3 linked regions of the Ovis aries genome follow. The protein of the gene in region 1 purifies or fractionates together with the protein of each later gene. This does not show direct contact. Links are inferred from orthologs where the notes say so. Each region holds a gene or a part of one and is shown on either strand. Other genes may lie near its edges. The genes, in order: CXCR4, TMEM63B and ITCH.

What was found.
Region 2: the proteins of CXCR4 (region 1) and TMEM63B purify together in Homo sapiens (co-immunoprecipitation; 3 studies listed by BioGRID and IntAct, with this or other methods). This does not show direct contact. The link is inferred for Ovis aries from reciprocal best matches to the Homo sapiens genes CXCR4 and TMEM63B.
Region 3: the proteins of CXCR4 (region 1) and ITCH purify together in Homo sapiens (affinity purification with western blotting; 5 studies listed by BioGRID and IntAct, with this or other methods). This does not show direct contact. The link is inferred for Ovis aries from reciprocal best matches to the Homo sapiens genes CXCR4 and ITCH.

Annotation. Positions count from the first base shown.
Region 1 is NC_056055.1:174,726,306-174,730,364, forward strand, and holds the start of CXCR4 (C-X-C chemokine receptor type 4), read left to right. Parts: upstream 1-1,225; 5' UTR 1,226-1,279; coding exon 1,280-1,294; intron 1,295-3,289; coding exon 3,290-4,059.
Region 2 is NC_056073.1:17,652,255-17,655,860, forward strand, and holds part of TMEM63B (CSC1-like protein 2), read left to right. Parts: intron 1-861; coding exon 862-1,004; intron 1,005-1,102; coding exon 1,103-1,154; intron 1,155-1,861; coding exon 1,862-1,970; intron 1,971-2,547; coding exon 2,548-2,618; intron 2,619-3,606. UniProt on the Homo sapiens protein: Mechanosensitive cation channel with low conductance and high activation threshold. Osmosensitive cation channel preferentially activated by hypotonic stress.
Region 3 is NC_056066.1:63,780,600-63,784,926, forward strand, and holds the start of ITCH (E3 ubiquitin-protein ligase Itchy homolog), read left to right. Parts: upstream 1-1,496; 5' UTR 1,497-1,725; exon of another isoform or gene 1,726-4,327. UniProt on the Homo sapiens protein: Acts as an Acts as an E3 ubiquitin-protein ligase which accepts ubiquitin from an E2 ubiquitin-conjugating enzyme in the form of a thioester and then directly transfers the ubiquitin to targeted substrates.

The sequences.
Region 1 (4,059 bases):
AGTGGCGCGAGACTCGAAAGCACTGTCTGAGCGACCACTGCAAACCCCAGCCGTCTGAGATACCTTTAAGCGTCCAGCCCCCACCCTTATTCCACCCTGCCCAGCTCTCCAACCGAATTTCTTACTGTTGCCAACGCTTGTTCTCCACATTAGGTTGGACAGCGGATGTGAGGCCAGTAGATCTGGGTTTGAGTCAGGCTTGTCATCTCCGGGCAACCCTGGAATTGCATGTCTGCGGATCTGTTTCTTGTTTCCTCCGCATGGGGGCCTTGTCAGGTTCACCGCTGTTTCCCCAGCTCCTAGAACAGTGCGTGGCATGCAGTCAGCCCTCACTAAATTATCTGTTGACTAAATGCATCTCTGTAATGATAACACCTACAGGGTGTTGTGAGAATGAATGAATCTGTGCAGCTACCTGGTGACATGTTAGGGAAGTACTCTTCGCTGAGTATCTCTTATAACACAGCACAACTTTTTCAAAAGCACTATTCACGAACTGGTTACCCGGGAACACACATCTACTTCTCTATCACTATCTCCCTCCAGAATTATGCCAAATCATCCGACCTTCGTCTGAAAATGTTTTCTGATTGTCGACACTTGACTCTAGCACTATTACGGTGGATGTGCATGTCTAGTTATATATAGTTGTGCTCTGAAGAAAGAATCTTTACTTGTTTCATTTTCTGAATGAACTGCATCTGCTCAAAGAGCAGGGAATGGACTCAAGATATTGGACCCACTGCTAGCATTGCCGCCTGCTGGTCGGGTTTCTCCGGCAAGTCACTTCCCCTCTCTGGACCTCAGTGTCTACATCTGTAGCTTTCCCGGGTCAGCAATACCACCCACGTGAGCAAGGACAGAACAGGGCGCGTCAATCGCCCGCGCTTTCCACCTCCTCCAAGCGCATCCTGCTTTCCCAACTTGGGACACGCCTCCAGGATGAGCTTCCCAGCTTAAGACTCACGAGGTGACCTCGAGGTAGAGCTAAAGGTAGCCGCTGAGGGCCTCCCAGGCTTACGCTGCCCGAGGGCCTACCCCTCCGCCCCTCCCTCGCGTCCCCCGCCCCCGCGTCTGCCCCTCTCCTGCACCCCGCCTTTCTCCCCGCCCTGCCCTCCCGCCCACCGGCGCGGCGCATGCGCCGCCCGCGGAGCGTGTTTTTATAAAAGTCCAGCTTCGGCCAGAAACTTCAGTGTGTTGGCTGTGGCAGCAGGTAGCAAAGTGACCCTGAGGACTTGAGTAGCCGGTAGCCCCCGCGGCTGGAGAGCAAGCGGTTACCATGGAAGGGATCCGTGTAAGTCCAGTTTCAACCTGTTTTTTCTTAAACGTGCAAACACCTGAATTTACAGCGCAACCGCTCTCTGAGTGGGCCGGAGCAACCAGACTATTGCAGGTGCCAGTGCCCGGAGAAAGGGTGTAGAAAGGAGATTTCGTGCGCTTGGCTACAGGAGGGGTGAGGCATGCTGGACTGAAATCTTTTTTAAGTAGAAGGAGAAAAGACTGGGACGACCGTTTCAATGGTTGCATGTATCTCCCCCTGAGTTCTGCGGCGCGCGCCGGTTTTGCACGCTGTTTGCAAACAGAAGAACACTGTGGAAAAGTGCAGAGATGTGTGCTCTGTCAGAGACCGTGGGTCTCTTCCTCGAGGGAGCGGGGGTTTCTTTTGGAGCAGATAACACGATCTGAATTTGGAGGTGGAGGGCGGTACTCCCGGGCAGAGTTACCAGAGGCGTTGGGCGCGTGTTCACTAAACTCCGCTACCCGCGGAGTTGTGCCAATGGCTGGGCACTTGTCGCTCAGTTGAGCTGTCTGCGCGTTGGTCGCAGCAGGGAGGTACTGGGAACAGCCCTCGCGCCTTGGGATCGAGGGAGAGACTTCGCGGGCGTCGCCAGCGCCGCGAGTGGGCTCCTGGGTTCTGGAATTTGGGGGTCGTGCAGAAGTTAAAGGAGTATAAATGGTCACAGTGCAGCAGCACCCCGAGTGTGCGCGGCGGGGACTGGGGGTGGAATGAGGGGCTGGAAGGGCACCTGGGCCGCCGGTGGTTGCGGTGCAGACAGGCAGGTGCAAGTGGAAGACGGTTTGCCTCTCACCGCGCCCAGTAGCGCCATTCAACCGTCGGTGGTTTCCTGGAACCTTTTGAAAACCCCTTACTAGGGAGGCTTTTCGTTTCCCCCAGCGGCGGGCGATTCAAAGGCTCCCGCGGCGGAGACGCCCAACCTCTCCCCAGCACCCAGTAGTACTTGCCCCTGGCGTGCGGCGGGGCCAAACCGCCGCAACCGCACTGGGCGGGCGGCAGGCGTGGGCTTGGTGGACAGCCGGGAGTGACGGAGCTGGACCACCCTGTCCCCAGCGTGCCCTCCGCCCGGAGGCTTCCCACTACAGACCTCCCACCTTTTACTGCATCATTGGCGGCATGGGAAGCGACTTGGGAGAGTGAGGAAATGAAACTTGGGGCGAGGACCACGGGTGTAGACCCCGTGACTTTCCCCTCCCATTAAAATTCTGTGCTCGCTAACGTCCCAAACGCGCCAAGTGATAAACAGGGGTTTGGCAAAGAAACAAACGGCCCTGAAGAGCGCCCATGAGCGGGCGTCGGGGCGGTTACCCACTCTGACAATCCTGCCCCCAAGCACCAAAGCCCTTCATTCAAGGCCGCATTCTCCTTCCTCACTACGTGTTGCTTGAAGTGCAGAATGATAAGTGTTTAGACAGTCGTGGAGAAAACAGTGTTTCATGCCTTGGAATAAGAATCTTTGGGACACTCCGCCCTTTCACACACACACACACCCCAGTGCTTCTTGCTCCCGGCTTCCCTATCCTGGCGAATCTTCGTTGAGAAAGTTAATCCCAGCCCCTCAGAACACGAGATTCTTCCCCCACTCCCACCCACGCTCCCACGCCGCCTTTGTGTTGTGTTTTGGTTTTTTGCCCCGGAGGTTTTTTCTTCTCTCCAGTGGGCGGGGCAAAAGAGTTAGCGAGGATGTAACTTAGGAAACCGAAGACTCTCATCGCCGTTTTGTTTTAAACAAAGAGTTTTGTAATTGGTTCTCCTAAAGAGGGATGTAATGAAGTGACTTGTGGGGGAAGATGGGAGGAGATCCGCAGGAGTCTAGAATTCCCTTATCCTTTTTACCCTGGTACTTTAGTGGGAGCAGAATTTCCTGAAGAAAGCTGGACTGAGTTGGTTTTTACAAATTGCTTTTTTTTTAATACCAGAAACATTGTTTTGAACTCGGAGAATACCTGCTGAACTTGAAAGTGAATGTCTGTTCCCTTGCCTGTTTTTCAGATATTCACTTCCGATAATTACACTGAGGATGACTTGGGCTCAGGTGACTATGATTCCATGAAGGAACCCTGCTTCCGGGAGGAAAATGCCCATTTCAACCGGATCTTCCTGCCCACTGTCTACTCCATCATCTTCCTAACTGGCATAGTGGGCAACGGATTGGTCATTCTGGTCATGGGTTACCAGAAGAAGCTAAGGAGCATGACGGACAAGTACAGGCTGCACCTGTCTGTGGCGGACCTCCTCTTTGTCCTCACACTTCCCTTCTGGGCGGTTGATGCTGTGGCAAACTGGTACTTTGGGCAGTTCCTCTGCAAGGCAGTCCATGTCATCTACACCGTCAACCTCTACAGCAGTGTCCTCATCCTGGCCTTCATCAGTCTGGACCGGTACCTGGCTATCGTCCATGCCACCAACAGTCAGAGGCCAAGGAAGCTGCTGGCTGAAAAGGTGGTCTATGTTGGTGTCTGGCTACCCGCTGTCCTGTTGACTATTCCTGATCTCATCTTTGCCGACATCAAGGAAGCGGATGAGAGGTACATCTGTGATCGCTTCTATCCCAGCGACCTGTGGCTAGTGGTGTTTCAGTTTCAGCACATCGTGGTCGGCCTTCTCCTGCCTGGTATCGTCATCCTGTCCTGCTACTGCATTATCATCTCCAAGCTGTCCCACTCCAAGGGCTACCAGAAGCGCAAGGCCCTCAAGACCACAGTCATCCTCATCCTGACTTTCTTCGCCTGCTGGCTGCCCTACTACATTGGGATCAGCAT
Region 2 (3,606 bases), on another chromosome or scaffold:
AGGCCAGCATCTCTGAGGGCCTTAGCGCTCCTAGCCAAGCCAGCACCCACCTCCCTGTTCCGGAGGCCCAGGCCCCTGCTGTTCCTCTGAGCCAGCCTCACTTTACCCCCCAACAGTCTCCTGTGCCCCTCCCCCGCCTAGGGGGCCTGCTCTGCCCTCAGCTCTCCTCGCCCCTGCCGCCCTGTGCAAGGAGGCGCGGACGCTGCCACCTCAGAGCCATGTGCAGCCAGCGGGTAGGGGCAACAGGCAGGCTGGGGGCAGCCAGCCAGCTGCAGGCAGGAGCCAGTCTCCAGCAGGCAGAAGTCAGGAGACGGAGCCAGAGTGCGGCAGGCAGGCAGTGAGCCTTGAGAGAGGCAGGAAGCCGGGACAGGTCAGCACCGCCACCGTCCTGGCCCGTGGGTGCCCAGGGCTCCCCACGCCTAAGGGCGAGCACCGCTGCTTCCCAGACCTCCCTCCACCCTCCCGCCTCTGTCTCCCCCTGCCACCACCTTTGTCCGCCCTCCTCGGGTTGTCCTCTCACCTCCGTTTCTCCCCATCCCCTGCTGCTCTTCCTCTCTGCAGTGTGCCTTGTTTTTCTTCTCTCTCTCTGTCTCTCTCCCCCATCCCTCTCCTCCTCCTCTCTTTTCTCTTTCCCTCCCCTTCTCCCTGAATCCTTCCTTCTTCTCCCTCCCTTTCCCTCTCACTTCCTTCTCCCTCCCCTCCCAGGACACAGGGGACCCAGAGCCCCACCTCCCCTCTTTCAACCCCATCCTGCTGCCGGATCAGCCAGGGCTAGGGTGGACGTGGGCTGGGGTGGGCCAGGGCAGATGAGCCATGGCCCCTCCGGCACACTGGTCCTTACCACATCCCCGGTGCCCACAGGGATGACGAGATCCGGGACAAATGTGGAGGCGATGCCGTGCACTACCTGTCCTTCCAGCGGCACATCATCGGGCTGCTGGTGGCCGTGGGTGTCCTCTCTGTAGGCATCGTGCTGCCCGTCAACTTCTCAGGGGACCTGCTGGGTCAGTAAGGGCCAGGACCACTGTGGTGGGAAGAGGAGGGGACAAAAGGGGACGTGCCCTGACCCCTCCGTCATCCTCTCCCTCGTCCCACCCCCCAGAGAACAATGCCTACAGCTTTGGGAGAACCACCATTGCCAACTTGAAATCAGGGTAAGAGTGGGAAGCTGGTCAAGCGAGGCCTGGGTCTGTGGGCAGAGTCTGGATAGGAATGGGGAGCGGAGGAAAAAGGGGGGTGTTTGGGGGAGAGGTAACTGAGGCTGCAGAGGTGACGGTGGGGCCTTGAGGGCTTGGGATGGAGCCAGAAGGAGAGGCTCCCAGGGAGGCTGGCTGGTGGTGGCTAGAGGGCAGTGTACCCAGCAGGGAGGGCGTGAAGAGATGACCTCTGGGGACAGTGTGGTTGGAATGGGACAGTCTTGGGGTCAGGATGTGGGGTGTGGGGCCTGCCTTGGGAGGGTGTCAGAGGACCCGAGTCTCTAAGGGGCCCTGTACCAGGGTTGTTGTTTTTAATGCTTATTTATTTTTGACGGTGCTGGGTCTCCGTCGCTGTGTGTGGGCTTTCTCTAGTGGCGAGCAAGGGCTCCTCCGGTTGCGCTGCGGTGGCATCTCATTGCGGAGTGTGGGCTCTAGAATATGGGCTCAGTAGGTGTGGCGCATGGGCTCAGTTGCCCTGCAGCGCCCGCGGCGTGTGAAATCTTCCCAGAGCGGGGATCAAACCGTGTCCCCTGCACTGGCAGACGGATTCTTCACCACTGGACCACCAGGGAAGTCCCCCAGGGTTTCATGGACACTGGCAGGTTTGGGGGTGTTTGCGAGTGTTCCCAGCCCTGGTGGCCCCGCTCCCCCCTCTGTCCCGCCAGGAACAACCTGCTATGGCTGCACACCTCCTTCGCCTTCCTGTACCTGCTGCTCACCGTCTACAGCATGCGCAGACACACCTCGAAAATGCGCTACAAGGAGGATGACCTGGTGAGTGCAGCGGAGCCAGGCCCATCCCCAGCCCACCCTCGGGGACTCTCCTGCTGAGTCCTAAGGTGTGGTCAGCACCCAGGTGAGGCCAGCTGGTTTTGAATCCTGGCTCAGCAGCCCAGGAGCCCCCATCCTGCCAGTTAAGTGACCTCCCCCAGGCTCAGTCCCCTCCTCTGTAGGAGGTGAGAATGGTCCCTCTCCCAAGGTGGGTGGGGGATGAGGCAAGGCCGTGCCTGGAAGGCCTGGGGCAGGAAATGGCTGTGGGAGTGATTGTCCCTCTTCTCCTATATTTATTCCCCAAACCAGCACTGAACACCCACTCCAAGCACCCACCCTGCTGGGGCCTCAGGGTCTGAGAATCTGCAAGTAGTACCCGCTCTGCACCCCCATAAGCCTTCAGGGGGCAAGAGGCCAGGGGGCTTTCACTCTGCTCACTGTCTGATTTCTATTAGAAACACCGCCCCTGGCTTATGCCGAGGTCTGCTTATCCCACCTGTCCCTCTCTGCTTCCCCGTTCCCCACCCCCTCTCTGAGGGTCAAGCCTCAGGAAGGCAAACTGGCCCCCTTCACTCCCCAGGTGAAGCGAACTCTCTTCATCAACGGAATCTCCAAATATGCAGAGTCAGAGAAGATCAAGAAGCATTTTGAGTGAGTAGCTCCTCCCCCTGTCCCCAACCCCAGGACCCGTGGACCCTTCTTTGCCTTCTTTCAGCTCCAAGAGCATCATCGCAGGCCTCTCTCCTGGGGGGCTCAGGGGCTGTGGTACAAGGTAGGGGGTTATGCTAAGAAAGAATTCTGACTCCAAGGTGTTGGGCTGGACTTCAGGTCCCTCAAAGAGCTGGAGAAATACTTGAAAAGTGAGTCCCTGGGCCTTTCCTCCTCCTGGCTTGAACCAGGTCATGGTTTGTTGACCCTGGGTCCACGGGCCCTTGAGGATGTGGCCTTCTCAGAATTGTGCATGGTGTTCTGGAGGCTGTGTGCACGCGGACTGGCAGGGAGAAGGTTCTCAGTTTTCAGTGCATCCTCAGGGAGCCCAGAAGAGCTGGGCTGCATGTTCTCTGAGGTGCTTTTTAGCCAGAAGTCTGTCTTACTAAAGTGAAGGAAATTCACTTCCAGTGGCCAGAACAGTCTGTATACAGCATCTGTTCATCTGTCCACTCAGCGGTTGTTCTCAGGTGCTGCTGAGGTCCATGTGGTGGCCTGGGGACTACAGAAATGAGTGCAAGACCATCGAGTTCTCAGGGCTTCACAGTGTGGAGGCCAGCTTTAGAGGCCAGTCTCTGGGGACAGTATTAGGAGTTGGCCGGAGGTCCTGACTAGGGCCATTGGTGGTCTGGATCAGGGCTCGGTCTCTGGTGAGGATCAGGATTTAGTGAGGTCGGTTGACCTGGATGAGCAGTCAGTTGTCCTGGATCAGGATGGGATTGGAGTTGGATCCCAGGCCCCTGTGTTACCGAATGACTGGTTTGTGACCAGGGTTTTTGAGTGAATCCTCTTTTTTATTCAACATGCATTTATTGGTCACCTTCTGTGTGCCAGGCATAAATCAATTAGAAACAAGTCCTGCCCTCCCACAGTTTACAGAACAACAGCTATAATTAGCTCATCAATCATTGGTCAGTATGAGAGAACAATT
Region 3 (4,327 bases), on another chromosome or scaffold:
GTTTTAGAAAAGGCAGAGGAACCAGAGATCAATTGGCAACATCCGATGGATCATGGAAAAAGCAAGAGAGTTCCAGAAAAACATCTATTTCTGCTTTATTGACTATGCCAAAGCCTTTGACTGTGTGGATCACAATAAACTGTGGAAAATTATGAAAGAGATGGGAATACCAGACCACCTGACCTGACTCTTGAGAAACCTATATGCAGGTCAGGAAGCAACAGTTAGAACTGGACATGGAACAACAGACTGGTTCCAAATTGGAAAAGGAGTACATCAAGGCTGTATACTGTCACCCTGCTTATTTAATTTCTATGCAGAGTATATCATGATAAATGCTGGGCTGGAAGAAGCACAAGCTGGAATCAAGATTGCCAGAAGAAATATCAATAACCTCAGATATGCAGATGACACCACACTTATGGCAGAAAGTGAAGAGGAACTAAAAAGCCTCTTGGTGAAAGTGAAAGAAGAGAGTGAAAAAGTTGGCCTAAAGCTCAACATTCAGAAAACGAAGATCATGGCATCCAGTCCCATCACTTCATGGGAAATAGATGGGAAACAGTGGAAACAGTGTCAGACTTTATTTTTTTGGGCTCCAAAATCACTGCAGATGGTGATTGCAGCCATGAAATTAAAAGACGCTTTCTCCTTGGAAGGAAAGTTGTGACCAATCTAGATAGCATATTCAAAAGCAGAGACATTACTTCGCCAACAAAGGTCTGTCTAGTCAAGGCTATGGTTTTTCCAGTGGTCATGTATGGATGTGAGAGTTGGACTGTGAAGAAAGCTGAGCACCGAAGAAGTGATGCTTTTGAACTGTGGTGTTGGAGAAGACTCTTGAGAGTCCCTTGGACTGCAAGAGGATCCAACCAGTCCATTCTAAAGGAGATCAGTCCTGGGTGTTCATTGGAAGGACTGATGCTGAAGCTGAAACTCCAATACTTTGGCCACCTCATGCGAAGGGGAGGGAGGGGGGAGGGGGGAGGGGGGTTCAGGATGGGGAACACGTGTACGCCCGTGGCGGATTCATGTTGATGTGTGGCAGAACCAATACAATATTGTAAAGTAATTAGCCTCCAATTAAAGTAAATAAATTTAAATTAAAAAAAAATTAAGAAAAAAAGACTGATGCTGGGAGGGATTGAGGACAGGAGGAGAAGGGGACGACAGAGGAGGAGATGACTGGATGACATCACCGACTCGATGGACATGAGTTTGAGTGAACTCCGGGGGTTGGTGATGGACAGCGAGGCCTGGCGTGCTGCAATTCCTGAGGTCGCAAGGAGTCGGACACGACTGAGCAACTGTACTGACCGGGAGTAATCCAAGAGTCCCTCCCACCTAGCTAAATACAAGCTCGGATTTAGCTGCGCTCACCAGCCTCCGCTAGGTCTTCCTGCCCGCAGCTGGTTAGTGCGCAAGGACTTCTAGGGCTTGTAGTCCTGATAGCTCCGGAGCTGGAGGCGCCTGCGCGTTGGCCGCCAACTCGTTCTAGTAGCTGTGGTCCGGAATCGGGACCGGCTGCCATCTTAGTCGAGGGACTGAAGAGTAGCCGCCGCCCCGTGTCCCGGTAAAAACCCGCGGGCGGACTGGAGGCAATTTTGGGGAGAGGGAGGGTCCTGGATGAATACGTCGGAGGAGGGCGAGAGGTAGAGGAGTGCGGCGCGTCAGCCGGGACCCGAGCCGCGGCTGCTTCCTCTTCCCTCAGAGCCGGTGCCCGTGGTGGGCGCGGGGAGCTCGGGCTAGTGGCAGGGGCCGGGCGGAGGGGTGGCGGGGATGGGTCATCTGGAAGCCCCGAGCGGCCCCTGTTGGGCTCAGACGGTCGGAGCCCCTCTCCTCGCGGGCGCCAAGTTCTGAGAGAACTGGGCCCCAGCGGGCGCCCCCGGGGTCCAGCCCAGAGCCCGTCAGCCCCGCCCGGGGGCTCTGCTCCTGCGGCCCGGCCTACGCGAGGGGCCCCGCGGCAGCGGCCGGGGCGGGCGACGTGGCCCTGCGAGGGGCGGCGGCCGGGCCCACCTGCCACCCGCTGCCCTTCCCGAGACTTTTTGGAGCTCGCACCAGCGAGAGGGGCCAAGTACAGCGGCTGCCTCTCTTCTCTCTTCCATTCCCCTCCGTCTATTGTCCCCCAGCGTGGTGGTCCCGGCCCCGGCGTCGTCGTCGGCGCCCGCCGCCGCCGCAGCGGCCCCGCCGGCGCCGAGTTTTGCAGACGTGGAGCTGTCACTGCCCTTCCTCCTGAAAGTGCCCTTTTCTTTAGCGGAGAGAAGGAAAAAGTAGTCGTGATGAGGACAGGACTTGGTGGGGACTAAGTGGGGAACTCAAGTTCTTAGACTTTGCTCCGGGCCGCGACGTAGAGCGAAACACAGGATCTCTGCGCCCCAGGTAGACGCTGGGCCTCAAGTTAGCGATGTAACCTGGTGGATTTGCAAACTACCCGAAATCCACGATTCCCCAGTAACAACTCACCTTGTTTTCTTGCTAATGTTTGTATCTTGTTAGATTTTCCGCTGTTATTCAGCTTCAGTGTAGTTTTTGGGAGTGAGGGGTGGGGAAGGAAGAGACATTTCAGGGAATTTTTCTCTGAAAATTAACGAGGCACTTGAGCCATCCATCTATCACTGTACTTAGTTTGAGTCTTGCATGTATTCCTAATATAATTAGATCGTAGGGAAGTACTAGAGGCAGTGTATTTCCACCCTCAAAATGGGCTAGAGAGTTGTTTCTCTGCCGAAATAAAGTTCTCAGAGCAGGTCTGGTGAGAGTCTTAATCATGTATTCATAGGTTTACTCAGGTTACAGTTACTTCATTTTTAAGATTTAGAAATGAAGGTGGAAATTCACCTGCTGTTTTCAACAGTGGATATAAGTTTTTTGGGTGTGAGTCCGAAAGGAATTCCTTCATCTTCAGCATATGAGTCAAGTCAACAAGGATATGAAATAAACAAGTGCAGGATAATTCCTCAGTGTATTCTAGAGTAAATCATTTTTCCATTCCTTAAAGAAACGTCTTTACACCAACTGGAAGAGACAAACCAGTAGCCCCCAAATTTGGTCATTAAAATAATCAGGGCAGCTTTTTTAAAAGTAGAAATTTCAGAGCCTTATTTCCCGAGATTGATTTAATAGGTTTGGGTCGGCCTTGAGGATTAAAACTTGCCTCAGGCAATTTTGATGGTTTTGGAAACCTTTGAGACAATACTTTGAATAAACCAAAAGCTTTGAGATGGAAGAGGAGGTAATCAGTTGTGTCTGATTTGAGGAGGAAGAATCTGCTTCAAGCTGAAGTTGGGTCTTAGCTGAAGTGTTATTGTAATGGAGAAAGGGAAGGACAGGGCAGAGGAAACACCTCAGTACTGTTAGTAAACACAGGATTGTGGAAGATAAAAGGGAGCAGGGAGTGGGATGGGGAAGGAGAGCATTATGGATGTGAGGCAAGAAAAAAACTTGTTTTATGTTGTTAGCAATAGATACAGATTTTTTATTATTTATTTATTTATTTATTTTTAGATACAGATTTTTTAACAGGAAAATGATATTGAGTACATGTTTGCTTTGGGAAGATTGCTTTGTGGCATGAGTGAAAGGACGGAAGAATGGCTGTTGCAGTGGTTTAGGTGAGAAGTGAAAGGCTTGTCCTCATTGAGAGGCCGTGGGCATGATCAAGGGATTAAATTTAGTTCTTTACTAGTGCAATATTGTCCTATTTTTGTATGAGGATTTCTTTAGGGCCATTCTGGGTAAAAGGTTCCTTTTCTGTCAAAAGAACCCATTAGCAAATCAGAATAGTATTGCACAGTTATATATGTTAATGGTATCAGAATTTATTGTTAGCATCCTTGATCAGGTACAATTTGTAGAATTTAGAGATTAGACTGAAATTTATGGCTATCAATGCTATTGGTTTATGAGCTTTTTGGGAAGTGTTTTTTCTCCCACCCTCAGAAACTTGGTTTTAGAATTTTAGAGTTGGGGGACTCCCCTGGTGGTCCAGTGGCCAAGACTCTATGCTCCTAATGCAAGGGTTGTGTGTTCGATCCCAGTTCTGAGAACTGGATTCCACATACTGCAACTAAAGATTCTACATACCACATCTGAGACCCAGCATAGCCAAATAAATAAATAATACATATTAAAGAGTTGGAAGAGATTGTAGAGATTATCTAGTCCACAGTAGCAGATACATTTTGATTTATGGGCCAACTTTCACTTGAAGTAGCTGCCAGAAGCCCTGTGTTGAGAAGGATTTTAATCATAAGGGTTCTCTGGGAAAGTGAGTTATGATTGATTAGTGATGACTCCTGTGGACACTAGTTATCTAGTGGTTGGTATC